2 linked regions of the Rhinolophus ferrumequinum genome follow. The protein of the gene in region 1 interacts with the protein of each later gene in a biochemical or structural test. Links are inferred from orthologs where the notes say so. Each region holds a gene or a part of one and is shown on either strand. Other genes may lie near its edges. The genes, in order: DNM1L and FIS1.

Evidence for each region.
Region 2: the proteins of DNM1L (region 1) and FIS1 form a complex in vitro, tested with the Homo sapiens proteins (2 studies listed by BioGRID). The link is inferred for Rhinolophus ferrumequinum from reciprocal best matches to the Homo sapiens genes DNM1L and FIS1.

What each region holds. Positions count from the first base shown.
Region 1 is NC_046293.1:41,500,037-41,515,103, reverse strand, and holds the start of DNM1L (dynamin-1-like protein), read right to left. Parts: upstream 5,975-15,067; 5' UTR 5,812-5,974; coding exon 5,710-5,811; intron 1-5,709. UniProt on the Homo sapiens protein: Functions in mitochondrial and peroxisomal division.
Region 2 is NC_046290.1:91,302,569-91,318,450, reverse strand, and holds FIS1 (mitochondrial fission 1 protein), read left to right. Parts: upstream 1-8,838; 5' UTR 8,839-8,951; coding exon 8,952-8,996; intron 8,997-9,865; coding exon 9,866-9,998; intron 9,999-11,417; coding exon 11,418-11,494; intron 11,495-11,928; coding exon 11,929-12,034; intron 12,035-12,344; coding exon 12,345-12,445; 3' UTR 12,446-12,654; downstream 12,655-15,882. Other genes in the region: CLDN15 (claudin-15), read left to right, coding at 14,650-14,866. UniProt on the Homo sapiens protein: Involved in the fragmentation of the mitochondrial network and its perinuclear clustering. Plays a minor role in the recruitment and association of the fission mediator dynamin-related protein 1 (DNM1L) to the mitochondrial surface and mitochondrial fission.

The sequences.
Region 1 (15,067 bases):
ATTGGATATCAACTACAAAAAGAAAGCAGGAAAAACCACAAATACTTGGAGATTAAACAACATACTCTTAAAGAACGACCAGGTCAAAGAAGAAATTAGAGGAGAGATCAAAAGATATATAGGAACAAATGAGAATGAAAATACATCCTACCAAAATTTTTGGAATGCAGCGAAAGCAGTTCTAAGAGGAACATTTATATCATTACAGGCCTATCTCAAGAAACAAGAAAAATCCCAAATAAATAACCTCACGTTACACCTTAGAGAACTAGAAAAAGAAGAACAAATGAAACCCAAGGTCAGCAGAAGAAAGGAAATAATAAAACTCAGAGCAGAACTAAATGAAATAGAGAACAAAAAGACAATAGAAAAAATTAATGTGACAAAGAGCTGGTTCTTTGAAAAGATTAACAAAATTGACAAATCCTTGGCTAGACTCACTAAGAGAAAAAGAGAGAAAACACTAATAAAATCAGAAATGAAAAAGGGAAAGTTATAACGGATGCCACAGAAATACAAAGGATCATCCAAGAATACTATAAAGGACTATATGCCACCAAATTCAATAACCTAGAAGAAATGGACAAGTTCTTAGAAACACATAGCCTTCCTCGGCTAAACCATGAAGAATTGGAAAATCGAAACAGACTGATCACCAGTAACGAAATTGAATCAGTCATCCAAAACCTTCCCAAAAGCAAAAGTCCAGGACCAGATGGCTTCACTAGTGAATTCTACCAAACCTTTAAGGAGGATCTAATACCTCTCAAAATCTTCCAAAAAACTGAAGAAGAGAGAATACTCCCTAACTCATTTTATGAGGTCAACATTACCCTGATTCCAAAACCTGGTAAGGATAACATACACAAAAAAAATTACAGATCAATACCTTCGATGAATCAGTGCAAAAATCCTAAACAAAATTCTAGTAAATCGAATGCAACAAAGCATTACAAAGATTATTCATCACGACAAAGTGGGGTTCATCCCAGGGGCACAAGGATGGTTCAACATACACAAATCCATCAATGTGATACATCACATAAACAAAATAAAGGACAAAAAATCATATGACTGTATCAACTGATGCAGAAAAGCGTCAAGATGCAACATCCATTTATGATTAAAACACTTAATAGGTATAGACAGAAAATACCTTAACATAATAAACGCCATATATAACAAACCCTCAGCTAATATATAATTAACGGTGAAAGATTGAAGCCCTTTGCTCTACGTTCAGGAACATGACAGGGCTGTCCCCTATCACCTTTGCTTTTCAACATAGTGTTGGAAGTCCTTGCCAGAGCAATCAGGCAAGAGAAATAAAAGGCATCCAAATTGGGAATGTAGAAGTTACACTGTCACTCTTTGCAGATGACATGATGCTATATATAGGAAACCCTAAGGACTCCACCAAAAAGCTATTAGAAACAATAAACGAATACAGTAAAGTTGCTGGCTACAAAATCCACGTACAAAAGTCCATTGCATTCCTATATACTAACATGAAATCTCAGAAAAAGAAATAAAAAAACAATTCCTTTTGCAATCGCAACAAAAAAAATACAATACCTAGGAATAAATTTAACCAAGGGTATGAAAGACCTATATGCTGAAAACTATAAGACATTTTTAAAAGAAATTGAAGAAGACACAAAGAAATGGAAAGACATTCCGTTGCTCATGGACTGGAAGAATCAACACAGTTAAAATGGCCATATTACCTAAAGCAATATACAGATAATGCAATCCCCATCAAAATCTTAATGGCATTTTTTAAAGAAATAGAACAAAAAAATTATCAGATTTGTATGGAACCACAAAAGACCCCAAACAGCCAAAGCAATCCTAAGAAAAAAGAACAATGCTGGAGGTATCACACTCCTTGACTTTAGCTTGTACTACAGGGCAACAATAATCAAAACTGCATGGCACTGGCAGAAAAACAGACACACAGACCAATGGAATAGAACTGAGAACCCAGAAATAAACCCACAGAAATATGGACAGATAATTTTTGACAAAGAAGCAAAAACACACAATGGAGAAAAGACAGCCTCTTCAATAAAATGGTGCTGGCAGAATTGGAAAGCCACGTGCAAAAGAATGAAACTGGACTGCTGTCTGCCACCATGTATCAAAATGAATTCAAAATGGATCAAAGACCAAAGCATAAGACCTGAAACAATAAACTGCATAGAAGAAAACATAGGTACTAAACTTATGGACCTTGGGTTCAAAGAGCATTTTATGAATTTGACTCCAAAGGCAAGGGAAGTAAAATCTGAAATAAACGAATAGGACTATATCAAACTTAAAAGCTTCTGCATAGCAAAAGAAACCATCAACAAAATAAAGAGGCAAGCAACTGAATGGGAGAAGATTTTTGCAAACAACACCTCCGGTAAGGGGCTAATATCCAAAATATACAAGGAACTCATACAATTCAACAACAGAAAAAACCTGAAGAGATATTTCTCCAAAGAGGACATACAAATGGCCAATCGACATATGAAGAAATGCTCAGTATCACTAATCATCAGAGAAATGCAAATAAAAATCACAGTGAGATATCACCTCATACAAGTTAGAATGGATGTTATCAACAAGACAAAAAATAACAAGTGTTGGAGAGGCTGTGGAGAAAAAGGAACCCTCATACACTGTTGGTGGGAATACAGATTGGTGCAGCTGCTATGGAAGGCAGTGTGGAGGTTCCTCAAAAAATTAAGAATAGAATTACCATATGACCCAGCAATCCCTCTCCTGGGTATTTACCCAAAAAATCTGAAAACATTTATCCATAAAGACATGTGTGCTCCAATGTTCACTGCAGCTTTATTTACGGTGGCCAAGATATGGAAACCAAAATGTCCTCTGATAGATGAATGGATAAAGAAGTTGTGGTATATATACACAATGGAATACTATTCTGCGGTAAGAAAAGATGATCTAAGAACATTTGTGACAACATGGATGGCTCTTGAGATTATAATGCTAAGCAAAATACGTCAGAAAAAGTAGAGAACCATATGATTTCACTGATATGTGGTATATAAAACTGAAAACAACAAAAGAACAAGACAAACAAATGAAGAAACAAAAAACTCATAGACATAGACAATAGTTTAGTGGTTACCAGAGGGTAAAGGGGGACGGGAGTTCTAGAAGAGGGTAAAGGGGGTCAAATATATGGTGATGGAAAGAGAATTGCCTCTGGGTGGTGAACACATTGTGAGATACAGATGATGTATTACAGAACTGTACACCTGAACTCTATGTAACTTTACTAACAATTGTCATCCCAATAAACGAATTTAAAAAAAAAAAGTATTACAGTAAAAGACATATTGTCATTAATCCCTCTCAAAATACCCCTTGCTTCGAACCCACTTATCCCATCATTCTTTCCACTTTCTGAAGCAGTTCTGGAAGTCCTCTTTCATGTATTTAGTTGAGCTGTTGTGGCTGCTTCAATGACCTAAACCAATTCAAAACGTTTACCTTTCATGGTTATTTCAACTTAGAGTAAGAGCCAGAAGGCTCACAATGACAGATCCAGTGAATAAGGTGGATGAGGACACAACGTAATGTTTTTATTTGACAGAAATTGCCATATACCAGAAGTGATGTGTGACACGGAGCCTTTCTGTTGTGATCAACAAATATGGTGACTGCTGCTGCTGAGTGCCACCAGATAGAAAGGCAGGGATCTTTAATTCGGGTGCACTGAACATTAGTAAGTGTGTGACAAGCTTCAATTTGTTTGGTGCAGTCAGTCAGGTGAGCTATGGTTGAGAGAAGGTATGTTTTAAAGTGTGCCATAAATCATCCTCCATCTTGACAACACTCCATGTCACACATCACTTCTGGCATAGCAATTTCTGTCAAATAAAAACATTACGGTGTGCCCTCATCCACTTTATTCACTGGATGTGGAACCGTAAGACTTGTGGCTTCTTCCTGAAGTCAAAATGATTCAGGACATGGAGGCAGCCCTGACAGCGCAACTAAAGACACTCACAAAAGGCGATTTCCAGAACTGTTTCAAAAAGTAGCAAAAACGATGGGATAAGTGTGTTCGAAGTGAGGGGTAGTATTTTGAGGAGGATTAATGGTAATGTGTCTTTTACTGTAATAAATTTTTTTTATTTAAACATTCACCATCTTTTTTGATCACACCTCTTATATGGAAAGTTTCCAGTCTACTGCTACAAAACACCTTGAAAATACCACCAAAGAAGATTTGATTTATATCATCTCCTCTGATTCCATTTACAAAACAGGTTTTGATGATAAAAATCTCTGTGTTTTAAAGTATTATCTTGTTTCAGTGAACAATATTTACTCAAAATATTTATGGAGCACCTGCTACATACCGCAGTCTGTTCCATGGGCAAGGAATGGGACCACAGAAGTGAACAAAATAGTCTCAATAAAAACATTACTTATAATTTGTTATATGTTGATGATTGAGAGTTGCCAATCATTACAAATATTAAGAGTTACAAATACTACAATATGTGTAGGCAGGGCTGAACAGAATCTATACAGATCTTATAGCAGACCAAGGAAATTTGTTTCTGAAGTAATTTCCAGTGCTTTAACTATTTAAAAGCACACACAGTACAGGATGTCTATGGTTTCCACGGTTTCCAGTGTTTGGAAATACATGTAGCATTTTTAACATTAAGTTCCCTGTCATAATACTTATACTCTACACTTTAATTTTGTAGCAAGATGTAGCGATGCACCTCATGGAAAACGATCGGGAAGCGTCCCCTTCTCAATAGAAATGACCATCAAGAAATGAAAAGGACTTAAAATCTTTATACTAAGTAGTCATTAATCCCTAGCATCTCTGAAGTCTGATCAAAGTCCTATGATTCCTCTTCAACCAAGAAAAGCAGCAAGCAGAGAAAATGGAACTTATACTTCTGTCACTCTAGAAATAACATTATTTCTTCAACATTTCTACATACAAGAAATTATGATGTCTTAAGACACCCAACATGGAAAGACAAGAGAACCTTGACGTTCAGTTTAGATGGAAGACAAAAACTACAGCCTATGCCAAAAACTGGGATGTTCCTTCCAAATACCCAGATCCAAGTGGTTTGAGGGTATTTTGGTTTTTAACTGCTTTGGCGTTCCCCAAACCTTGGCGATTACACTGCAGAAAAACACTCAGGTGCTACACAGTAGCGGCCTTTTCAGCCCCCACCGCACGGTTCCAAAACTGACTCCGCAGCCCCAGAGCAAGGCAAGGAAGGAAATAAAACACCCAGCCGCCCTGAAACCAAACAAGTAGGGGCTAGCCGGCCCACCACGAGCCAGTGCGCCCCGCGTGCCCGGCGCGACCCCCAGGTGCCCTTGGAAGCAGCGGCCTGCGGGGAAAACCGCGCCCGGTCCCCGCGGACTCCAGTTCCGCCCGACGGGCTGTCCTTCCCCCACCCCGCCCCTGGGACCCGCCAGGCCCACCGCGCCGGCTCCGCCCCTCGCCTCCCGGCCAGGCCCCGATTCCCAGCCCTGATGCAACGCAACCTGGGGCAGCAGACGCGGCAGAGCCCGGGGAACCCCGGGGCCCCAAGCAGCGTCCTCCTGCCACAGGCCGCAAAGCCTGGCCCGGGAGCGTGCGCTCCCGCAGTCCCGACCAGGCCCGCGCCCCGGGCTCTGGCCTTGGCAGACATCGCCCTCGTCTCTCACCTGCGTTCCCACCACGACGATCTGAGGCAACTGGATGATATCAGCGCCCACAGTGTTGAAGACGTCCTGGAGCTTGTTGATAACAGGAATTAGCGCCTCCATAACTCCGAAAACACAGGACCCCCGCCCGGCCGGCCGCGGCAATGAATGGGGCCGCGGCCCAGAGTCCGCCTCCTTCCTCCTCTCCTCCGCCCTTTCCTCCGGAGCCGGCACCCATTGGACCCTGCCCTGCCGCTACCTGCCCCCTCCCGGCAGGCTGTGCGCTGAGAGGGCGGTGGCGAGAAACAAAGCCTGCCGGGAGTTGTAGTTCTGGAGCAGAGGAAAGCCAGGGCCTACGGCATCCAGAAGGCTTCGCGGTGCGGGCGGACCCCGAGCCGGGAGTGGCGAGTGCTTGGGAATTGGGTAGCTCCCTGGCTCTTGTCAGATGACTAGGGAGCGAGGCTCGGATTGTAGGAAGAAACTCGGACGTTTTTGACAGTCCTTGAGGCGTATTGGGTGGGAAAATCCCGAACGTGTGTTAAGTACAACGGAGTCTCTTGATTATCTAAGGTGTCATTTCCTTATGAGGACGCTTTCTCAATAAGGGCGGGTTGGAAAGGCTTAAACAGCCCATGTCCTCAGACACCCCAGCCAGGTGCAAAAAGTTTGTAGGCTGACAGTGGAAGGCATGGGGTACTATTTTGCAATAATACAAAACCAGCCGAGGTTAGACGATGCGGGTTCTCCGGGATTTGTGTAAAAACGTGTTCAAAAAGAATCTTAAAAAGTGTCAGAGTTTTAGAGGGGAAGGGCTGGGCCCTTGTTTTCTATAGTCTGTATAAAATGTTACTTGCTGTGGCCTGATTCCGGCAAAGTGGAGATCTGATAACTGCCTTTCTAGCATTTTGCTAAGTGTGCCTACTGTTCTGTTCCTAAATGTTGTTTTTCTTTTTAGACAGATAGTATCTCTCTTCTACGCCAAACCTCCAAGGTTTTCTATCTCAAAGTTTTTTTTTAAAAAAGTGACATTTGAGCAAAGATCTAAAGTAAGTGAGGAGAAAACCCCCTTCCCTGCTTTATTTTTTCTCCATAGCATTTATGCCCATCTAACATGCTACACATTGAACTTGTTTATTCTCTGCTTTTGCTAGATTATCAGCTCCTAGATGCCAGGGACTTTTAACTGTTTAATTCATTGATGAATCCTTAGTCCTTAGAAAGTGACAAACAAGAAAGTCTCAATCTCAGTCCCCTCTGAGTTTACAATCTAACTGAGGACCATTATAAATAACTGGGTAAAGTCCTATGGTTGCATGTATTATGGACCACATAATAGGAGTTTTTCTAGCCTGAGGGGAGGAGTGAAAGTTCAAGCAAGACTTCCTAGAACTCACTAGATCTAATCTCCATGAGGGCAAAGACCACCAGCAGCAGTGCAAGTTGTGCACTACACAACTTCAGTGGGTACACCATTCACCAGCACAGCCTCACACAGTAGCCCTGGGGAACAAGCTTGATTTGTTTAGCAGGACACATGGTATGTACTCAATAAATATTTTTGAACAAACGAATGAACTGTCATCTAAGACCTGAAGGTCCACTAATGGTGTTTTGGCATCATACCAAGTTTTATGAACATTCCCTGCTCTTTGATTCTTTTTAAAAACAAAAATTTCAGAGACAAAGTGGGGGAAAATTTCAAAACTCCAAAAAACAGAGCAGACAAAAGAGAGGGGATAGGTTCATGGTGAACTTCCATGGGTATAACCAGTAACTGTTTCATAGGGGCACCGTGACCTGGGGCAAAAATGATGCAGCTACAACCTACAACCTACAAATAGGCCTTCCCTTATTTGTGGCCCCAACAGACATAGTCTTTTCCTATTTGCTAATGGCAAAATTAAAAGAGCAACCATACATGTATTCCAGAAAGACAAATGTCATGAATTTTACATGGCATTATCTATTTCCATTTATATTATAAAATATTTGTGATAGCACATCCAGATCTTTGTATGAACATGCTCAGGAACAACAGTGACTGCTTTTTAATTCTTTTTCTAGGAGAAGGAAGAATGATCTCAGGCCAGTTCTCACAAGTTCTTCTATCACTACCACCACAGTTAGATTTAAGCAGGTTTGTCCAGTACTTGTCCAGACACTAGAGCATTGAGTTCATTGGGCACAGAAGAGAAGTGTCTGAGGCTAGAGAAACAGGAAGTGGTGAGGCCTTGAAAAAGAGTGGCTCTAACTTGATAACATTAAAAATAAATAAATAAATAAATAAGGCAGGGTACTCAACGTGCAATGTGTTTCACTGGAGACAAACAAAGCAAACCAATTTGGGTTTTCACATTTAAGTTCAGAACACTCTTGCTTGTGGGACAGCCACTTAGCCAAGTATGACTTCCCTCATCTAAAGTAGGATAATGTGTTTCTCAGTGGGTTGCTATGACATCAAATTAAGCCATTATTCAGGTACTCTCTCCAAAGGCTTTTTAAAAAACTCCTTCTGCCATCCCTCTCTCACTATAAGTTTATGATTTAGGCAGGACAGTTAGATTACAAGTCTCAGAAATTAAAGTCTAGTTGGCTCAAAAAGAGGAATTAACTTGTACAACCAAAGGGCTAACATGACGTTGGCCTCAAAACTAACTGGAACCACGGGCTCACGCAGCATCAGAATTCTCTCTACCTCTTATCTCTGCTTCTCTCTGCATATCTACTTCATTCTCTCCAGTCAATTTATTCCTGTGGATGAAGTGAGCAGACAGTGGTGGAGACTGTAGGGATCTCACCAAGCCAGATGCCTCAGGGCCAATGAGGTGGAGCGAATATGAGGAGGAACTGAAACTAGGTTTCCACCCTGGTCCACTGGTGTATGTGTTTCCTATTGCTGCCTCAACAAATGACCACAAACTGAGTGGCTTAAAACAACAAAAATGTATCATCTTACAGCCCTGTAGGTCAGAAGTCCAACACTTGGTCTCACTGGGCTAAAACCAAGGTATCATCAAGGCTGTAGCTCCTTTCTGGAGCGTCTATGGAAGAGTCCATCTCCTTGCCTTTTCTAGATTTGAGACTGCTCACACTCCTAGCTCTTGACTCCCTTCCAACATCTTCAAAGCTAGTAATGTTACATCTTTTTGACCCTTCATGTGCCATCACATCTTTCTCTGATTGCAGCCAGGGAAGGTTCTATGCTTTTAAGAACCCATGATTAGAGTAGCTCACCTGGATAAACCAGGACAATTTCCCCATCACTTTCTGTGCCTTTCATTATATCTGCAAAGTCCCTTTGCCATGTAAAGTTCACAGGTACCAGGAATTAGGCTTTGGACTTATTGGAGGGGCCATTATGCTGCCTACCACACCAGGTTAAAGTGATTGGTCCGGGGATGGACTTGACCCAAGCAAGGCCATTTAGAGACCCTCCCAGAGTATTCTTTAACTTGAATTAACCAGAGAATTTTCTTTCTCGTTATAAGGATGTGACCTATACGGATGTGAGTCACTGTCACCAGAGAGCATGTTTCCTACCACATATAATAAATTGGTTTTGGAAAATAAAGTAGACTCCTTATTCACCGTAAAAAAATTTTCCAAATCCAACAATTGTCCCATACTTCTAAATGTACAAATATAAGACATAATCTAGGAATTCTAATCCCCATAGTTAATCACTCCCTCTTTTCCTTGTTGCCCTTTTCACACATTATTAAACTATTATTTTTGTGAGAACTTATTGTGTGCCAGCCACTGTGCTCAGCATTTTATAGTTTTTCCTGTGGGATAGGTTTACAGATATGGAAACCAAGGGTCCAGCGGTTTAAGTAAAGTGACACATTTACATAGCTGGTATGTGGCAAAGCTGGGATCAAAACAGGCTATTAATCTCTTAATCTCTATACATATTGCCGCATTTCTTCATTCATTCCCTCATTTATTCAACACATATGTATCAAGTACCCGTTAGGCATATGGATCTTAGGCACTGTATTTGCTAAAGAGAGGAGGGACTATGAACATGATAGTAACATGTCCTTCCCCCTTAGCCAACAGAGAGCTAGTCACTGAGAGGAGAATTAGTGTCAGGTTTAGCCAGTTATCTCCACTATCCAGTATAGTGCTTGTTGCATAGTACTACTCTAGTAAACTTGGGGTTCCCTTTTCTTTTACATGAAAAGTCTGGAATAGCAAGGATTCCAGCCCCTCTAAATTGGTACAATTGCAACTAGGATTTGCAATCAAACCCAGCCAAAACATATAAGATTGGCCTGGCATAGGACTCCTCATCAGAATAGCTGTCAAGTTACTTTTCTTGCTAGGGGGTAGACTGGCTTTGTTCTTAAAACTTCTAAAGAGAGAAAGTTTATCTTAAATTAAATTTATAACAGGAAAAGATTTAATACTTCTTGCAAAAGATCACTGAGACTATTTTTATAGCATAAGTATTCAAATCATTTTATGCCAACATACTGATCATTAATCATAGTCAAGTTGCCATTATCCATGGCTTCAAATCATAGGGGAAAGTTGTCATGCGGGGTGTCATGCGGGGACTCTGGTCCTGCTCCCCGCATAAGAACGCAGGATATGGCTAGGCCAAAAAGGAACACCCACGGAGCCATAGATAGGGGAGTCATACCACTATATTCTCGCTGGCAGCTGGGTTGGAGACACAGGGGGCAGGAGCCACACGATTCGCAACCTGCCGTCCGCTTCTCCGCCGATCCCACTTGGTAACTGCAGTCCGCGCTTGCTAGCTTAGCCACGGCAGTTATATCAGTGGCTAATGGCTAACCGTAACAGCTGATGGCCAACTAGCCACAGCTGATGGCCATCTACTACCCGAGCCAGCACCTTTCCATATGAGGTTGAGAGCCTGGAAACTGCTCTCCTGGCTCTGTCCCCACAAAAGTACAGATCTAATATTATTATAAAATATACAACTCTGATGGGGAAGCCTCTTTGTCATATTTTGGAAACTGCCCTATTTTGCCAAAATGATAAAGTAAACAGCTTTGATCAATTTGCACTACTCCATAGGCGTCAAGCTTCACACAGACATTGTCAGCAAGTGCAGGAAATGGTCTGCAGATGGTGGCGTCTGTCAGATGGTTCAGAAGCCAGCAATTGAACCTGGCGAGATACTGACAGCCCATTAGAGGGCAGTGTGACAACACAATTAAGAGTAGTAGAGTCCTCTCATCTTCCTAGACTGTTTTCTTCCCTTGGCTCCACACCCATACACCAATGGAATTTAACCCTTCTTTTAATCCTCCCACCCTCAAAACAAGTGGCGTATTTTACTAACTGTTTGAGATAATAGAGTGATTTTACATCACAGTAATGCCAACAACTGAAAGTTCCATGTTAGACATCCTTGTCCTTAAACTACTCTATTTACCCTGTCTCTGGGAATTTCTCATTAGCCTCTTTTCTTTACAACTGCACTCGAGGATCCCAAAATGTTGTGTGGCGTTCTCAGAAACTCTTCAAATTTCCTTTCTCCTCTGTTTCTTAGGCTTCCTGTTTCTCTTCCCTACACCAACTCTATTAACCTACACTTTCCGCTGGAGAGACACTTATGTTTTCAGCCCTTGGATTGCTACCTTTGTGTATCAAAGGCTCACCTGTGTGACATCCACCCTGTATTTCTTCCTTCAGCAGCCAGATCTAGTAGAGACTTTGAGTATCTTTGCTTTCTAGTTCCCCAACCAGTTCATCTAAACAGTAGTGGGCAGTGTAAGTCAATTTGAGTTTTAAGAACCAATTGTGTAGAAATTCCATGTAATCGTGATGGATAAGACTTACACATTAGTGACACAATTAGTAAAATCAGTGAATAAGGCAGTGTATCATAAAGCACTAAGCACAGCGTATGTAATATGTGTAAAAGTTTATCCAACAGTGACTTTTTGTTTCTTACTGATGGCTTTTACTTATTCAAATTCCTCTTCAGTTACTGAATGTTTGACTAAATGGAGGAATGGATGGATGGGTGAATGAATGAACAAGGTTTTGCATATTAAATATACTTTATCCGGGCTAGTCAGGTTCTAAAATAATATGTTGTTATTTTAGAACCAGTACAGTATAAGGGAAAAAGTTCTGAATTAGTTATCCTCTTTGCGAAGCCATGATCTTTACTCACAACCCCTGCTCTATGAAATAGGACTACTAATATAACTACTAAGGATGAGACCTACAACCAAATAGAAGTAAATTCTTAAAAAGCATTTGCAGAACTAGTAAGTAATGAAAATATAGAAAATGATGTAGCCCAAATCCAGACAGCAGTCTTATAGGTGTGCCACTATTCACACCAGTAGCAAAAACAAAAGCAAACAAAATAAAAATGAAAACAGTAACAGGCATTAAATACTATATTAAGTACTAAAGATACAAAGGCAAATAAAACATTCATTGGCATTCCTCCAAAAAAAATCTCCTTTCTTCTCATTCCTTCCTCTCAAGAAGAAAACGAACAAGTAACCAGAATTAATATACCAGAAGTCAGCACATAGGAAAGGGACCTAGACTGGGCTTCCTGGGTTAAAGGATGAATAGGAGTTGACCAGAGAAAGAGGAAGAGAAAGAACCAGGCAGAGAGAGCAGCTTGTGCAAAAGTGAAGAGGAAGGAAAGAACATGATACACTGGATACTTTAAATAGTTTAGTGCGGCTCCGTGCAGAGCAGGAGGATCTGTGAGGGAATGGTGAGTGGCAAGGCTATTATCTGGTCGGTCAGAGGTGAACTCATGATAGTGACGAGTTAGAGATGTAACCTCTAGGTAATGGAGAAGGAAATGGAGAAAAATCAGAAGCAGCAGCAAAGAGACACATGATCATATGAATATTATAAAGATCACCCCCATCCCACGGGACTGAGATGAGGTAAGAGAGAATGGGAAACCAGATAGGGCATGGTGCAGTAATTCAAGTCAGAAATGATGGTAATGTATACTAAGGTAGTAATATCGGAGATGGAAACACCCGGATGAATTTAGAATAGATGTACTTGTCTAGACGCCGGGGTGGGGAATAGCCAAGGGCAGAACGGGCAATAGGAATATTTAAGAGATGGAAGAAAGATGTTAAAGAAACCATAAAATAGTGACCAAAAGAAACCATAAAATAGTGACCAAAAAGGAAAAATAAAAGAGAATGGCTTGTTCAAAATGTATTTCAACATCCTTGTGGGCTTTTCTTTGCTTCAGAGGCTAGCAAGGTTGGTTTCTGGTTAAGATATTTCTTTCTAGCTTGCAGCTGGCTGCCTTCTCCTTCTATAGCCTTTCCTCTGTGCACCTGTGGAGAGAGAGCGCCCTCTAGTATCCTTTCCTCTTCTTATAAGGACTCAGTCCTATCGGATTAGGGCTCCACCCTTAGGACCATTTAACCTTAATTACCCCTTTACACGCCCTATCTCCAAATACAGTTATATTGGAGATTAGGGTTTCAAAATACATCTTTAGGGGGACACAGTTTGGTCCAAAGCAATATCATTAAATAAACAATATAAAATATGAAAATCTCACTTCTAATCATACTTTCTAGATGGGAACCACTCTTAGTAACTTCTTTCTGTTTATACTTTTCACTGTTCTGGCATAACATATAAATTAGATCACACTACACACTATAGCTCTATTTTTTCACTCATAGTGAAGAAATCTTTTATATATAGATTTTCTTCACTCGTTGCTATAGTGTAGATATGTTCCGTATCAATACATAAAAATCCCAAAATATTTTTTCCAACAGACACATAGTATTTTCTTGTAAGGGTTATAATTTATTTAACAGTTTTCTTATAATTTATTTAGCAGTTTTTTTCTTGGTAGATAATAGATCACTTTGAATTTACTATAGACGACGTTGCAAAAAATACCCTTATACATGTATATATTCATACTTTTATCAGTATCTCAGTAGGATAGATTCCTAGAAGTGGAATTGCTAAGTCAAAGGGTATGCATCTTTAAAATCTAAATAAATATTGCTGTGACAGTTTATACTTCTAGTAGAAGCATGTGGGAGTACCTATTTCCTATTCCCACCGTAGGGTAGTATCAATATTTTTAGTATTGTTAATGTAATAGGCTAAAAAAGCAATCATTTTTTAAAATTTGCTTTCCATTATTAGTGAATTTTTTGCATGTGTTAGTCCTTTATATTTCTTTTTCTGTGAATTACTTATTCATAATATTTGCCCATTTTCCCCATTGCATTGGTATTTTAAAATATTCATTTGTATGAGTTTTCTATATTTATTATGGAAAATAAGCTCTTCAATATGTTGAAAATATTTTCTCTCAATATGTATTTTTGTCTTTTAATTTCATTAATGGTATTCTTAAGTGTATGGAAGTGAAATTACAGGGTCAAATCTGGCCCTTTTACAGGTAGGTGGTATCAGATAAGTGTGTTGGGGGTTAGGAATCAGATTCTAGGCATGGGAGCTGGCTCAGGGCAGAAATGGCCCCTTTAAGTGCCTTCTCAGTGTCTAAATGCTCCACTTGAATGCCTGACCTGGCAATCAGCCCAGCCTATTTGCCTGAGTAAAAACTTTGACTCTTGAAGAGGAGATTTTTATATGTTTGTTAGCACTAATGCTGAGCCCACCAGCTACTTATTTGCACTCACAGGATCCACTGACACCCAGGGGGCTTTGGCTGAGAGATTGGAACCTTGGCTGCACAGCAATGGAGGAAAGGTTCTCCATACTGCATTATATTAAGGAAGCACTTGAAAAACATTTCGAAAAATAGAAGTGACAACATATATTTATAAATACAGTTAAATTATACTTGCATATGATACCAAATATAGGTTTTTTAAAAGGCATGCAGAATCAGGAACAATGAATAACAAAAATATAAATAAGAATCTTATCATACTAGAGCCTAAAGGAACATTAGCAATTTTCATCATTTTTAAATTTTAGTCCAACCGTAGTATTTTACAAATAAGGAAACAAGGGCTCAGAGAGGTAAAATGATGTGTCCATGTTCACGGTTCCAGTTACTAGAAGAGAAAGGATTAGAAATTCAGTTCTCTTGACCTTCCATTTGACAAAACCTCCTTGATTTAGGAGTTCCTTGTATCTCCAAGTTTAAAAAAAAAAAAAAAAACACATACATTTTAAAAAGTGGCCTTTAGAAGAATTAAGATTTGATAAGTTACTAATCAGGCTTTTACAGTTATTTTATGTCCCTGCCTGAGACCCAGCTGCACTCTTTGATAGAAGGCGAACCCAAGCCTCTAAAGCCAACTCAAATCCCCAAGAAGTAGCATCCTAGAGTTTTGCGCACAGACTGGGACTTCACCTAGACAATCAGCTCCCAGTATCAGTGACTCAGGACTCTGTTCAGTGT
Region 2 (15,882 bases), on another chromosome or scaffold:
AATTGGAATGCAGAAGCTGTGCATGTGCTCTCCAGAACCCCACAAGCTTCCCACATTGGGGTTAATCCTCATTAACCCCAAACCCTATGGAGTTACAATCTTACTACCACTAGACTCCAGAAGCACTGGTGGTTGTGACTTTTGATCAATTTACATAATTAAATGGTCAATGAGTCAATCTCTCTTAATCTAACAACTCTTTAAGTAACTAAATATGAAACGCAACACCTTCAAAGTAATTCTAGGCCAATTTGCTTAAAATCAAACTGTTTAAAATAATTCACTTAAAGCCATTTTAGCTAAAGGTTTATTGAGATAGAAATACATTTACTTATAATCAATCACTTAAAGTCTCATAACATTCTTTCTAACTTTACCGAAATATAATTGACATATAACATTGTGTGTTTTAATGTGTACATGATGACTTGATACATGTGTATATTGTGAAATAATTAGCACAATAAGTTTACTTGATCTATCCATGACCTCACATAATTACTTTCTTTTTTTTTTTCGGTGTGGTGAGATCATTTCAGATTTACTCTCTTAGCAATTTTCAAGTACATAATACAGCATTGCTAACTACAGTCACCCAGCCGTACAGTATGTTCCCAGAATTTATTCATTTTATAACCGGAACCTGGATCTTTGACCACATCCCCCACTTCCCCTATTCCTCAGACCCTGGCAACTACCATTGTGCTCTCTGTTTCTATGAGTTCAGCTTTTTTAGATTCCACATGTAAGTGAGATCATACACTTTTTATCTTTCTCTGTCAGACTTATTTCACTTAGCATAGTGTCCTCAAGGTCCATTCATGTTGTCACAAATGACAGGAATTCCTTCTTTTTATGGCTGAATAATATTCCAGTGATTGTGTGCGTGTGTGTGTGTCTCACATCTTCTTTATCCAATCATCCATCAGTGGACACTTAAGTTGTTTCCATGTCTTAGCTATTGTAAATAATGTTGCAATAAATATGCAATAAGACTGGATTGCCAAAGAGCAATCCAATGGAACGGTAATGATAATGATAGCTAATGATAGCTAACTTTTATAGAATGCCTAGTGCTTTACAAGCATATCTCACATTCTCTCCTCATAATAGATTCACTAGGGAGGCATTAGTATTTTTATCCTGATTTTTCAGCTGAAGAATCTGAAGCTTAACCAGATAAGGCAAATTGACCACAGCCACAAGTCTGTGGAGGGATGAGGTTCAATTTGACTTTTCTGCTGTCCATGGATTCTCAAACTCTAGCATGCATCAGAATCACCTACAGTCTGTAAAAACATGGATTGCGAGGCCCCACTCCCAGACTTTGTGATTCAGCTGATGTGGAGTGAGGCCTCCAAAATTTCATTTCTATCATGGGTGATGCCCAAGCTGCTGGTCCCGGGATGCACTTTGAGAACCACTGTTTCACACCTTTGTTCCTCACAGTGTGTCAGAGAACATTCAGCATTGGCATCCCCTGGGAGCTTGTTAGAAATGCAGCATCTGAGGATCACCCTAGACCTACTGAATCAGACTGCATTTTTAACAACGATCCCAAGTGGTTCGTGCACATGTGTGTACTCATCACACACACTTTTGGACCTAGACAGACTCTAAGGAGGCCACAGGTAAATTTTAATTTACAGAGAACGTCTCTGGGGAAAGGGTTACCAGGAAGGACTTCGATCACCCCTGGGACACAGAGGTACGATGCGTAACAGCAAGAGGTGGAGACCGGGGCGAAGATTCGGGACTCGCTGGCATCGGCACCGCCCCCTCCGCCTCCCAGTAGCGCCCCGCCCCGCTCCTCCCGCGGAGCCGCACCCGTTAATTGGCCAGCTGAGGCCCCGCCCCCGCCCCGCCTCCCGCGGAGGGCGACTACTGCGCAGGTGCCGACGCCGCGGTCTCCCCCTCGCGTCTCCGCGGGTCCTCCGGACCACCGAGCCTTCCTCCTAGAGCAGCCCCCGAGGAGTCACCTTCTCCCTTGCTTGAGTGCCAACCAAACCTCCACCCGGAAGTGCAGAAGTCTCTAAGGTTCTAAGCGTCCGTTTTGGAACGCTTGTCGTTACTCTTTCATTCACCACATACGATCTTGGATGCCTGCCCTTTGGCTAAGAGATGAACGAGGCACAGTCTCTGTCCACATAAAGGACTGTGGGATTGGGTGATAAATGCTGTGCCTCCTAGAAGATGGAGGCATGGGGTCGGATATAAGAAAGCTGTCCCGGAGGGGTAACGGTCCTGAGCCTGGCAGTTGCCTGCCATGTAGGCACGTAGGTGTTTGGTGAATGGAAATCTCCCGTTGGAGAGCATTCCGGGTGGAAGAAAGGTGGCTGTCATGAAAACGTCTCCGTGTGCAGGGCGCGTGGGTGCCTAGAAATGAAGCTGGAGAGGTAAGCAGGGTGGTCCTGAAGGGTTTCGTGTGCATAATAGGAAATTTAGATGATGTCCTTAGACGGTATTTTTAATCAGGACATATGAGCTCTGATTTGCATTTTAAAATACAACTAGCAACCAGGCTGGGTTGGAGGAGGAAAAAATCTGAAGGCTGTTGGAGTATGGCGACAGAATGGAGCGGAGTGGCCTGATTACATATATTTATTCGTTAGCATTAAGATTCGTTAGCATTAAGATGTAACTTCCATGAGAGAAGGACTATGTCTGTTTAGTTCATTTCTCTTACCCAGCACTTAGAAAGCCCTGGCACACAGTAGGCCCTGAACAAATGTTTGTTGGATAAATGAATGAATCAATTTGCCCTTGATTGGACTTCCTAACTGATTGGATAGTAGATGAAAGTGGGAAGTAGAGGAGACTGATCACTGAAGATTGGAAGAACACAAATAGTGAAATTCTGTTCAGTGGGTATTTCCTGAGCACTTCTGGGCTGACTACTGACAAGATGCTGGAGGGTAGAAATCCAGAACAGGCTCCAGCTTCTGGTCAAGGGAGGGGCCCAGAGCCCAGAATGTGCTAACAAGTACCAGTTAGGTTTTAGTTCCCCCCCAACAAAAAAATGTCAGTTTCCCTTCTGTCCACTAACGTGACCAAATTTGAGAAGCACGTGCCTTTTTTCTGTTTTGAATATTACCATCCACATGCATAGAATCCATATGACTAGTTGTTTACCTTCACAGATAATGTAGGAAATGAATATCTTCATGCCTTCCTTTTTTGTTGTTTGTTGACTTTTCCCACAGGAGATTCTAATTAAATGATATTATATCTTGTAGGTCTTACTATATATTGTCTCATTGCTTTCCAAAAAGTTAATCATGGTAACAGCAACATCCATTTATGCAACAATCACAAATAGGTTATCTATGTGTAAGGCACTGAGCTGGCTCTAGTGGTATAATATGAGCAAAATAGACACAGACCTTGCCCTTATGTAGCTTCCAGTCTAGTATAGGAGGGTGGCATTAACCAGATCATCACACAAGTGTTTAATTACAAATAGATGAATAGTGTGAACTAAAAACAGCCGCTGCTAGCCAAGAGACAGAAACCAGTTTTACAACAATTTCAGCAGCACTGATGGTGGTTTGGGAGATTTTGTTTATAATTTTACTACTGTATAAGCTAAACAAAGGTTTCTCAGGATTGCTTTGCCTGATTTGGTTTTGAATTAACCTGAATTGCTTCTTCCTAGTTCACCTGCGGCTTAAGGAAAGTCCCACTATTGTAAACCAACAAAAAATTTACAAATTTATGCCTAAATTTTTAAAACATGAGTAACTAGAGCGTACGTATGAACTTATTCTCTTCACTTCTCCTATTTATCCTTTAGCTGACTCTTCCTCTCTCAGCGCACAGGTCTGCCTCTTAACTGAAGCAGGACGTAGGTTTGAATCCCAGCTCCTCCACTTCTAGCTCTGTGACCTTGGGCAGATTACTTAACCTTTTGATCCTCAGTTTCCTCATGGGTCAAATAGAGCTAATAATGGCACCTTCCTGGTGTGATTTTTGGCCACGTATTTCTTCCTTTACGTAGGAAAAACTAAACGAGCAGAATAGAGTCTCTGGCTCCTGGAAGATTTCAGTACTGTACCCAGTACCCAACCAATACTTGTGTGGCTCACAAAAACACAGTGCTAACAAAGACAGGAATGTATAGGTTACAGTTTTATATTCTGAAAATGTAGGACAGGTAATACTCTCCTTCTCTACAGGAGACTTCACCTAGTCTGGATGAAGAGATGGTCTTCCCTAAGGAAGAGTCTTAGAGCTAAGAACTCAGGTCAGTCAGGGCAAAACCTATTTGTCATCTTACACTCTTCTCTCACATACCCAATCCATCAGCAAATCTTGCTCACTGTACCTAATATCCTGAATCTGACCACGTATCCTAAATCCCTTCACCCCCACCACGACTGCTGTAGACCAGGTCACCTGTCTCTTGCCTGGGCCACCGCAGTAACCTCCTAACTGTCCTCCTGTATTTATTCTTGTCCTTACCGCCTTTTCTCCAACAGCAGCCAGAGGGATCCTTTCACAATGGATCATTGCTCAAATCGTTACTCTATTGCTCAAAACACCCCTATGCTTTTCCATCACATGTGAAATGAAATCCAGATTCCTCACCATAGTCTGTAAGGCCGTAAATGACCTGCCATCTCTCTGCCTTCATTTTCTGTCACTCCTTTGCCCACTCCACTCCAGTCACATTGGCTTCCTGGTTGGGCCTCAAACCACCTTTGTACATTCACTCCTCTGTGTGTTTCACTTGCTGCTTTGTCTGCCTGGAATGTTCTTCCCCATTTACCTGCATGGCTCATCCACTAACGTCAGTGCTCTGCCCAGGTATCACCTCTCCATGGCTTCTTTGGGCACTCCTCCCATAGTATCCTCTTCTCTCATAATTCCTTTACCCCGCTTGATTTGTTTTCATAGCACTTTCAACTCCTGACATTATTGCGTTTTTAGTTATTTACTCATTCTATTATTTTTTTCTGTTTTCCCCTACTAAAATGCAAGCTTCGTGAGAACAGGAACTTAATTTTATTTAGTGCCAGTGTCAGGCACATAGTAGGTACTCAATAAGTATTTGTTGAATAAATGAAATCATGAATGAATGAATGAGCCAAATAAAAGGGGGGAGGGGATAGATGTTCCAGATAGAGGATACTGCCTGTGCAGAGGGCCTGTGGGGCTGGTGTACAGACAGGGAGGGGTAGTGTTACAGAGAAAACCACAGGCCCAGAATGGTCACTTGTGCTAAGGCTGATGATACCAAACCTAGATTTAATACCTGACCTAACTGCATTTTCATCCTCTCTCAGAAATGTTATCTTAATCAACCAGTCGGGAATTTTCTGATCATGCACTAATAAGGTAATCTGTCACTTGGACCCTCTCTACCCTCCATAGAAAGCAGCAGCAATCTGCACAATAAAAACCCTTGCCATTCCCTTCCCCCACCTCCCAAAAGAAGATGTCCTGGTCTAAAAATAGTCTTTTCTTTGGTTAATAGCTCCCTTGCCCCACCCTTCTCCCTATAAAAACCTTCCATTTTGTACAGCGCCTTAGAGAGGCTGGTTGCTAGATCCAATCTGGTTGCTAGATGGGATGCTGCCCCATCCATGAATTGCTTAATAATCAACTAGATCTTCAAATTTACTCAGTTGAATTTTGTATTTTTTAACAGTAGTAATGGAGAGATTGAAACCAGAGGGCAACCGAGTCCAGGGCTCTTGCTGCCTGCCCCGCTCAGCCACTAGACCGACACAGGAGTTGGGCACTAGGATAAGCGTTTATTGTCAGAGCACCTGAGATCTGAGAAGGCAGCAGTCTTCGAAAACTGCCTTACCATTCTCAGACCAGCTTGGGGTATTTAAGGGAAAATCTGAGCATTTTTCCAGAGACTGCATGAGAGGGTCTGCATGAATGCTTCCCTCTGGCAACGTGGTTCTCCAGTGGCGTCAGCAACCCAGAAACAATGATGGGAGTAGCCTGGAAAGAATGTTGGACCATAGAGATTGTGATCAATAAGCCTAAGGTATTAATCATAAGATTGGGGTAATTTTCTAAAGCAGGGAACTGGGACGGGACATTCCAAGTTCAAGCCACAGGGAGATGATCTGTTGTTAAGCTACGGTCAAGGAAAGGTGAGGCCGGGACATTTCAAGGCCTCGACTATGGGGGTTCCAACTGGGCCCTTCTTCAAGATGAGGCAGAATTAAGCATGGACCAGATAATAGAGGATGTTGTAGGCTCTGTTACAGGATTCTGGCCTTTGTTCTAGGCAGTGAGATCAGCCATTAAAGGGTTCCTGGTAAATTGAGAACTGTGTTTTTATACGATCTCACTACTGGGTGGTCAATTCATGGTAATGGGGCAAGAATGGATGTGTGGGACCAGTGAGGTGGCTGTGGAAGTCATGCAGGCAGAGATGACAGTGGTTTGCATTTGGATGCTTGCTGAAGAAGATGGAGACACATAATTTGGATGTAAAATTAACAGGCACTGTTTCCTATCCCCGTGACACCAGGTGGATGACTATGCTAACTGGACCCAACCAGACACAAACTCAGACTCAGGATCTCTTCATTGGCACAGAATTGAGCCAACTGAGTAAGGCATTCTTTCTCTCCACATACATACATTCAAGGAACTCTGATGGAGATTTTGCCATGCGCCAGGCCTGTGCCAAGAGCCGTGGCAGATACAAAGATGACTAAGGTGCAGCAGGCCACCCCACAGAAGTAACACCCTAAAAAATTAATGCCCTTTTGGCCTCCCTGTATCCCCTGCCTTGCCAGTACTTGCCCTCTGTCTTCGGTCCTGCTCTGCTTCATATTACGTATCTGTTTATTCCCTCTTCTTACACTAAGGCCCAGCCAAAATTAGGTGCTCGATGCATCTTTCAATGAATGTGAATTTTTCTCCTTGACTATTATGCTAGTGGTCTTAAGGGAGCCAGTTCTCCAAACTAAAGTTTCTATCAAAGTTTACTGAGCTCATGTCAAAATCATTTCAAGTGCCCAAGCCAAATAGAGAATAACTTGCCTACCTAACTCACAAGGCTATCATGAGAATTGGAAAACAAAAGAAACTCAAGGGGCTTTGCAAACGTGAAAGGTGTTTGGATGATAATCCCTGCATTTACAATGCCCTTTGTAGTCATGCACTGCAACGATGAACATATACGGAGGAGGTCCCCTAAGATTATAATGGAGCTGAAAATGCCTGTGGCCTAGTGACGTCACAGCGTCGTAGCACAGCACATTACACAAGTATCACTGTGTTACAGTTGCCTGCAGTATTCAGTGCAGTAAATGCTATGCAGGTTTGTAGCCTGTACAGCAGAATTTATCACCCCAAAATATGTCTACTTGGCATAAGAATTATTTTAGGCCGGGTATTTTAAGAAACATACATTGGATTCTGAAATCCAAGAAATCACCCTTTGTAAAATGGAAATCTGCATTTGTAATGGTTTGAAATCACCTAACAATTTCTCAGAACGTATCCCCATCATTAAGCAGCACATGACTATTGTTGGCTTTATTTCATATTTACAAATATTTATTAAACATTGACCTTGTGCTAGGAGCTGGAGATGCAAGGATAAACAAGATACAGTCTCTGCCTTCATGGAACTTACATCCTAATGTGTATTGGGGAGCACTGTGGGTCAAGGTTGTTAAACAATTCAACAGAGTAAATCTGATGATCTAATTGATTTCATTAAGCAACTCATTGGGCCGAATCCCATCTAGCAACTAGAAGGGTGGTATGAACAAAAGAAATTACTTTTAGACCAGGACATCTTTTAGTGGGGAGCAAGGGTTTTTATCATGCAGATTGCCTCTTCTTTCTATAGAGGGAGGAGCAGAGTGTGGAGAGGGTCTTCTTGACAGCTTTACTTTATTGGTGCTTGACCAGAAAATTCCAACTGATTAAGATTACATTTCCGGGACAGACTGAAACTTCAATTAGATCAGGTATTAAATCTGGGTTTGGTATCATGAGCTTTTAAGCACTGAGTGATGCTATTTTGGACCTGTGGTTTTCTCTGTAACTAGGTAAAAGGAGTTTGAGCACTACCTACCCAGTCCCACCAACTGCAGAGAACAGATGCCAGAGGAACCCGCAGCATTTCCCCTTTCCATGTTTTGTTGCTCCTCACTGCCAAGCTCTTCATTGACCTTGAACCCGTATGGCAGGCCATCCGCTTTAGGTACACCCAGAGGATGCTTTATCTAAATATTTAAAAGATTGAACCCTCTTTGCAAGCAATGGCTACAGCTTTTCTTTAAATTCCCTTTAATACTATCCCGTTACTATTTACTGCAGTCTCTGGGTGTATGGTTAACAGATCCAGTTATCGATCCTCTTGCATTGCGCGAGTAACAGAGGCCCTGGAAACCCTGGCATTTAATGATTTTCTTGCAGGCACTGAAAAGTCACTGAGCTTCCAGGGTCCCAGGTTTCTGGGGGCGTCCTAGAGCTGGTGTTCGGGCGTACGGAGGGCGGGGGTGGACAGGATTAAACTGAGCCCTAAAAGTGTGATCTAGGCCGGGTTCTTCCCCTTCCTCTTTCTGCTCTTTTCAGTGGGGGGGGGAGGGCCGGATGACCACCGAGATACAGTCGCAGCCTTTCTTGAGGCAGCCTCCGTAGATGAAGAAACACGCAGGGCATCCGGAAAAAAGAACGTGGGGCTATAAGCAGCACTGTGCGCGGCCCACGCGCAACGGGCTTGAGAAGAGTACCGATCCCAGCGTGCACTTCACTGCCCTCACCCGCGCGCTGAGTGCGCGGGGAGGAAGTGGCGGGCGCCTCCCAGGGGCCGGGCTCGGCGTTGGCTACGTGAGGTGATTGGCTCTGCATAGGGGAGGAGGCCCACTTCCGCTGGACGCCGGAAGTGTTTCTCTGCCCCGGCCAGTGGGCCATGGAGACAGTGGCACGGTAACGTCTGAGTTCTGAGCATTGCGGGGGCGGCGGCCATGGAGGCCGTGCTAAACGAGCTGGTGTCTGTGGACGACCTGCTGGTGAGGCCTGGCCCCGAGGAAAGGAAAGGAAAGATTCGGGCGGGCGGGTCCGAGGAGAGTCGGATAGGGGCCAAACCCTATTCCCATCATCAGCTTTGCCCAGGGAAGCCGAACTACGGCTCCCGGCAGCCTTTGCAGCGTCCGGCTCCTGCCGAGAGGCTCCACTTGGCCCTTGAGCCTAATGGGAGTTGTAGTTTTCTGTGCGCCACCACACCTCAGACTCAGGGCCTGGAGTCTGGCGTGGAAAAACTAATGGGTTCTGGGTGCGTGCAGTAATTAGGATGTCAGGGTGCGGATCTGTTTTTGCGTGCTCCTTCAATGGCAGGGAACTAGCGACCATCAATAGTTTCATATATTACTGTACCCTGCACGGTGCTAAGTGCATTGCAGGCGATCTCATTTTGAGCTCTAGAAGGTAGGCACTATTCTTATTCCTGTTTTGCAGATAAGAAAAGGTCCAGACCTAGCAGGATGGGATGGGATGAGGGAAGCAGTCTCCAACGAGGGACTTCGTGGGCTGTTGAGCAGTTCTGACTGTTGAACAATGTGTTTACTGTTCACCCACTCGGAGTCAGCTGCTCTGGGAGCGGTTCCTGGAGCCGCCACCAGGTGGCATCTCCTCTCGGTACCACTAGGGGTAGAGGAGCGGAGGCGGTCCTGTCCAAGGACAGCCTGCCGACAGGAAGCCGAAAGCCTGGGTCCCAGGGATGGTGACAGCAGAATCTGTGGTGCCAGGAATCAAGACCCGTGAGGGAAATGTAGCAGAGACTGGGGAATATGGATCGAAACTGGGAAATGGGCACCCAGGTCCATCAGAGAATGGTTCGCCCCCTTCATTTCTAAATGACTCCTCTCCTCTCCTATGGCAGAAGTTTGAAAAGAAATTTCAGTCTGAGAAGGCAGCAGGCTCGGTGTCCAAGAGCACGCAGTTTGAGTATGCCTGGTGCTTGGTGCGGAGCAAGTACAACGATGACATCCGTAAAGGCATTGCACTGCTGGAGGGTGAGGTGCTAGGCTCCCCGACTCTTCCCTTCCTAACTGCCAGCAGGGTCTGTCCTTCTTTACTGCCATTGGTCGTTCCCTCCCCCCATCTCAAGTGCTGGGATCCTTTTTCAACATGGGATCCTATAGTACAGTCACCTCACAGTTACTAGGTTGGTGGAAAAGTAATTGCGGTTTAACTAAAAGTTTAAAAATAATTGCACAACCCGCAATTACCTTTGCGCCAAGCTCATATCTTCTAATGAGCTCACTGCAACAAAGGGGTGTGCATTCGCCTGGCCTCTCCCAGGGCGCTTCTGGCTAATCACCACCTCATCGTTGTTTTGCCAAATAGAATCAGCATGTCGGTTTCTACAGGACTTTGGTGATCTGGTAGTCTCACTATAAAGTGGCTTGTCTGAGGTCACACAGCTAATTAATTAATGGCTGAATTGGGACTAGAGGCTCCTGTCTTGTGTGTCCCAGTCCTGGGTCCTTGCCCCCCCACCCTGGAGCTTATTCAGCAGCTGCTGAAAACTTTTTGTGAGGATGGCATGGAAGACGTGCAGAAGGTAGTCCCAAAAGCCTGCGAACAGAGGGTGCGTTTTTGGTTGGAATCCTGTTTCCCATTGTTTTGGGATGGGTCACCATTTGTCAGAAACCACAATATTTGACCTTTCAGTTTCTCTGTACCCTCTTTCTCATGTGTAAGCAAACAGTCAGTGTACTAGCAAAGGATGCCTATTATAAATCAATAAAAATAAGAATCTTAATGCAAATAATCTCACCCTACATTTGTCTAATTTGCCAATTCAGATTTTTCAGATTTCCTGTAAAGCTGTGTCCTGCTATAGAAGTAGTCTCTAGGGCTGCCAGTCTAGTTGAGACAAACAATTGGGAAGATTTATAAACACCGGCAAAGCAACAAAAACTTAGCAACAAAGTCTAGTGCATAGAGTACAACTGAACACACAAGCCTCTGGGAAGTAAGTCACTGAGTTAAGAAAGAGTCGGGTGGGGTCATTCAGGGAAGACTAATTGAAGGTGAGTTTTGAGCTGATTTTTTAAAGGGAGAGGGAATACAAACTTAAAATTTTTAACTTATTTGGGCAACAAGCAACTGTAATTGAAGCACAACAGATGTCAAAACTAAGGAGAGATGCCTTTTGGCTTCTCCAGTGCCTTGAGTTCCTTTCAGTGCACTTGGATGAACCAGAGCTGACTACAGTATTGTGTGTTGAGCACCAGGGTGTTTGGGCAGCCTGAGTCCACGCTGCCCCAGAGCTCTGACTGGGAAGCCAGGTGTGACTGGAGTTGGAAGGGAGGCTCGGAACTTTCTCCTAGGATCATATAGGGATTCAAAGAGTGGAAGGTGTTTCTGGGACACAAGCACTAGGAAGAGAGAGAAGTGGTTTTCACCCTGTCCCCTCCCCTCCGTAGAGCTGCTAACCAAAGGGAGCAAAGAGGAGCAGCGGGACTATGTCTTCTACCTGGCTGTGGGGAACTACCGGCTCAAGGTAAGGTAGACAACTCCCTTGTTCCCACTCCACCCTACTTGGGTGGTCCACAGCACCCTCTCCTTTCTCTCCAGGGTAAAGCCTGAAAAAGGCAGTAGGCAGGGGGTGGTGTCAGGTACAGAGGTGCAAGGTGATAGCAGGTCAGGATGCTGAGGGAAGGTGAAAGACAGGATCAGAGTGCCGAGGGTGTGGGAAAGGTGACGTCAGGATTGGGGTGCAGCCCCAGGCCTGGGCTGTTATCTCCCCTAGCTTATCACCCCCCCACACACACTTGGGGCTGTTTTGTGGACTCTACTCCATTGGGTGGGGCTGGAGTGAGGGAGGGGGTGGAGGTAGAGGGAGGAGCCCCCAGGGCAAGCAAAAGGAAGGCCCCTCTGAACGGCAGAAGGAGTGCTGGAATACTGAGGGTGTGTGTGTGTTTTCTCTGAGTGTAGGAATATGAAAAGGCCCTAAAGTATGTGCGAGGGCTGCTGCAGACAGAGCCCCAGAACAACCAGGCCAAGGAACTGGAACGGCTCATTGACAAGGCCATGAAGAAAGGTGACTGCCTTCCTCTCTGTCTTCCTCTGCTCCCCACCCTCCTGTCTCCCTGGCCCCAACAGCCCCAGTTTACTCTTCTCCCCACCCCCACACCTGGGCTCTCTGGTCTCTCTTTAAATGACTCCCCTCCCACCAGTTCTTCCTCAAACCCCCAGAAGCCGCCTGTATCCAACCCTGGAGTCCGTTACCCTGTGACTCCAGGTGGAGAAGCACATCTGTTGAGGAGCAGCGGGCAGGAAGGACATGGTAGCCGTGGTCCCGGATGGCTCGGGCTGGACTCCTGACTGTCTCCCTTTATCTCTCTCTCCAGATGGACTGGTGGGCATGGCCATTGTTGGAGGCATGGCCCTGGGTGTGGCAGGAGTGGCTGGACTCATCGGACTTGCTGTATCCAAATTCAAATCCTCCTGAACAATACTGCACCTGTGCCTCTGCCCAGGGATACATGGGAGCCCATGGCGGACACTTGGAGAGTGGCCCATCCATCGTCACTCTCCCTTCTCCTGAACCCCATCACTGTCCTTTATGGCTTCAACTTCCTCTCCCCTGAGACCTGTCCTTTAGCCCCAAATCATGTGCTTTGGGATGAATGTAAATAAAATTGGGCTTTGGCTTGCCAACCTCTGTGTCTCTGTTGAGGAAGGGGCGGGTCCCCTTGAGCCCAGAAGTGGAGGTAACAACTGGTCCTTTCTTGCTCTGTGTTCTCCCACTCCTACCCCCCACACTGTTGTGGGGTTCTCCTTTGTCTGCCGTGCTGCCTAGACCCCACACCCTTCCTTCCTTCCCCAAAGCCACGTGGCGCAGCCTGGATCCTGGGGGAAAGCAGAGACCGGAGGTGGGAAGGGCAGAGCTAAGGGGACAGGCCTGGATTTATGTCTCCTGTCTCCTCTGACCCACTCAGCTGCTTTTCAGCACGTGGAGTTTTCCACACCAGGGGGGCCCCCCACTCAGTTTCCTCCAAAACCTCCGCCCTTCCCCTCGCTTTGTCCTCCTGTGTCCTCCCCTTCCTCCTACCCTAGTCTCCTTAGGGGACGGGGTGCTGCTGCTGGTGGGGGGAAGGAAAGAGGTATTTGGCATGGAGTTGGCAGGGGTCTTGGGAGAGGTTAGGAACCCAGCACACCCCAGTTGTAGGCTCCGAGATGGAAGGTGGAGACCCAGTCCCCACCCAGCCCGCTTTGCCCCACACCCGCTTCGTGCCAGGCTCAGCGTGGGCCTGTCTTGCTTCACTGCATACCTCTCATTCCACAGCCAAGCCTGCCCAGCTGGGGGATTGGGGAGGAGGCCCCTGAGGGGAGCACATAGGAGCCTGACACGGGAAGTTGGGGAATGGGGGCTTACACTTCAGCTCAGCGACGTCCTGTGTATTGCCTGGGTGTAGGATCAGCCCCTTGGAGACAGCTCCAGCCACACTTGCCAGAAGAGAGCCAGGGCTGTCCCACTGTGGCCTTGGGGCAGAAAATGAGACCATCTGCTGTGGGACAGGTGCTCAGCCTTGGCTTGGGGTGGGGACCCAGAGGTTTCTAATCAGTCATAATTAATAGAGCTAGTGACAGCTCTGATAATAGCTGCTTAGATTAGCCGCAGGATCGCCTGCACCTGTGATTTATCCCCCTCCGGGACCCTTGGCAGCAACATCAAGCTTGTTGCTGATGGTCAAAGATCAACCCACCAAAGGGAGGGTAATTCAAGTTCAGGAAGTTGAAGTTTGGAGGAAAGTAACACTTGATGGCCTCACACTGGGCAGGTGGCACTGAGACCCAGGACAGTCACCAAGTATCAAGCACTTCATACATGTGGGGAGGTTTGATCTGTGGTCACAATTCTCACTACAACCTCTGAGGTGAGTGGTAGTAGATCTAGTTCACAGAAGCAGAAATGAGCTCACGGGACTCACACTTCATGCCCGTGTCACTTGGGTAAATAATGGGGTCTGGGTTGAATCTAAGTTGGATTCCAGAGCCATGGGTTTCCCCCCACAGACCTCATTCCCATTCCCGTCAACTTTTAATCTTCCTGGGAGACTCAGTGCCCCAACCCCTTTGAGTTTCTTGAACTTTTCTCACCAACCTCAGGTGGCTCTGCTCCCTCCTTCCTTCCCCATTGAAGGCTGTGGTGGCCTGCCTGTGGTCATTCTCTGTCTGTCTTTTCTTGTCCCTCTTATTTCATTCTCTGGCCTCCGATGAAAGCTGAGTCAGAAACAGACGCTTCCCCTTGGCTCCCAGTGCCTCCCATGGGGGCCCCTCCTTGGCTGTATCCGTTAGTCACTCCCTAGTAAGTCCCCCCCCCACCCTTGTGGGGCGGGGAGCCCAGGGCAGCCCGGAGGCAGTGGACTTTTGGCCCGTTTCGTTTATTCCCTCCATCTCCTCGTCAACATCTGCCGTGGGCTCTTGGTTCATTCCTTTGACCGACCTGCGGGAAAGCAGAGACCCAGAGAGAGGGAAGGAGGCAGAAACCGGGAGACAGACCAGAAGCCAAGGCTGCAACCTGTCTTCCGCCCTTCCCCTCCCTCCCCACCCTGCCTTAACACCCCTCCTTAGCCAAAGCCCCTCGAGGTCCCCTGGGGCTCATCCCCTCCCTGCGGGGCCCCAGGTGGCCCTCAGGGCCTGTGTCCCACCATGTCAGTGGCTGTGGAGACCTTTGGCTTCTTCATAGCAGCCCTGGGACTGCTCATGCTGGGGGTGACCCTGCCAAACAGCTACTGGCGAGTGTCCACTGTACACGGGAACGTCATCACCACCAACACCATCTTCGAGAATCTCTGGCACAGCTGCGCGACTGACTCCCTGGGTGTCTACAACTGCTGGGAGTTCCCATCCATGCTGGCTCTCTCCGGTACCGTACCGGGCGGAGGGTGAAGGGAGCAGAGGGAGGCGGAAGGTTGGAGAGAGCCCCGGGAAGTGTGGGTGCCGCCTGCGGTCTGGCCTTGGACACCACACAGAGAAGGGAGGCCTGATTCAGCTCTGGGACCTGGGCTCCTGCAGCCAGGAGTGCTGGGGGCAGTCCCCTGTCCGGAACGGTAGTGGCGACCTGGTCACACATGGCCCCTGCCCTAGTGGGAATACTCTGTTGTAGTGGTACAAGTGCAGGCCCCAGGTCCAGTGCTGCTGTTTCCTAGCTCTGCACCTTGAGCAGGGGGTAAAATGAGCTTCATTTGACCTATCTGTAAAATTAGGGGCATCATAGCACCCATTCACAGGGTGGTCGTGGGGATTCTATGAAATAAAAGGTGCAAAATGTTAATATGATGTTACAATCTAGATGCACTCAAACAATGTTAGCATTTTAATTTTGGGGTGGCAAGGCTGTGGTTTGTGGGGTGAAGAGGCCCCATCTTGGATTCTTGAGGGTTGAGACCATCTCAGTAGCCTCCACTGGGGCACCACTGCCATGGAGAGTTCTAAAGGGCTGTTAAGGAGATCCTGGGTGTCTACTGTAAGCAGGTGGTGGATGTGCATGTGTGTTCAGGATTCTCAGGGCAGTGTGTTTTTGTGGTTCTTGGTGCGCTGGAACCTACAGCTCTATTGGACCAGGAAGGTTCTCCCTTGTGGCTGCAGCATCGTCCCACTTGCTGCTCACCCTCTAGTAGCCCCATCATCCCCCAGGGGAGTCTCCCTGCAGTCGGCCCCATGCCAGAGACCAAGAAGGGATGACCAGGGGTCCTCTGCGGTGCCTCTCCTGCACCCCCACCCATGCCCTCACTGCACCATCGCCGGGTCCTCCTGGACCCATCTCGCTCTTCCAGTCCCCTTCTGCAGGTGCCGGGGGTAGGAGAAGGAGTGGAGGCCAACACTGGGTTTAGAGCAGGGCTCCACAAAAACCCCCAGGAATGTCAAAGATGCTCTGAGAAG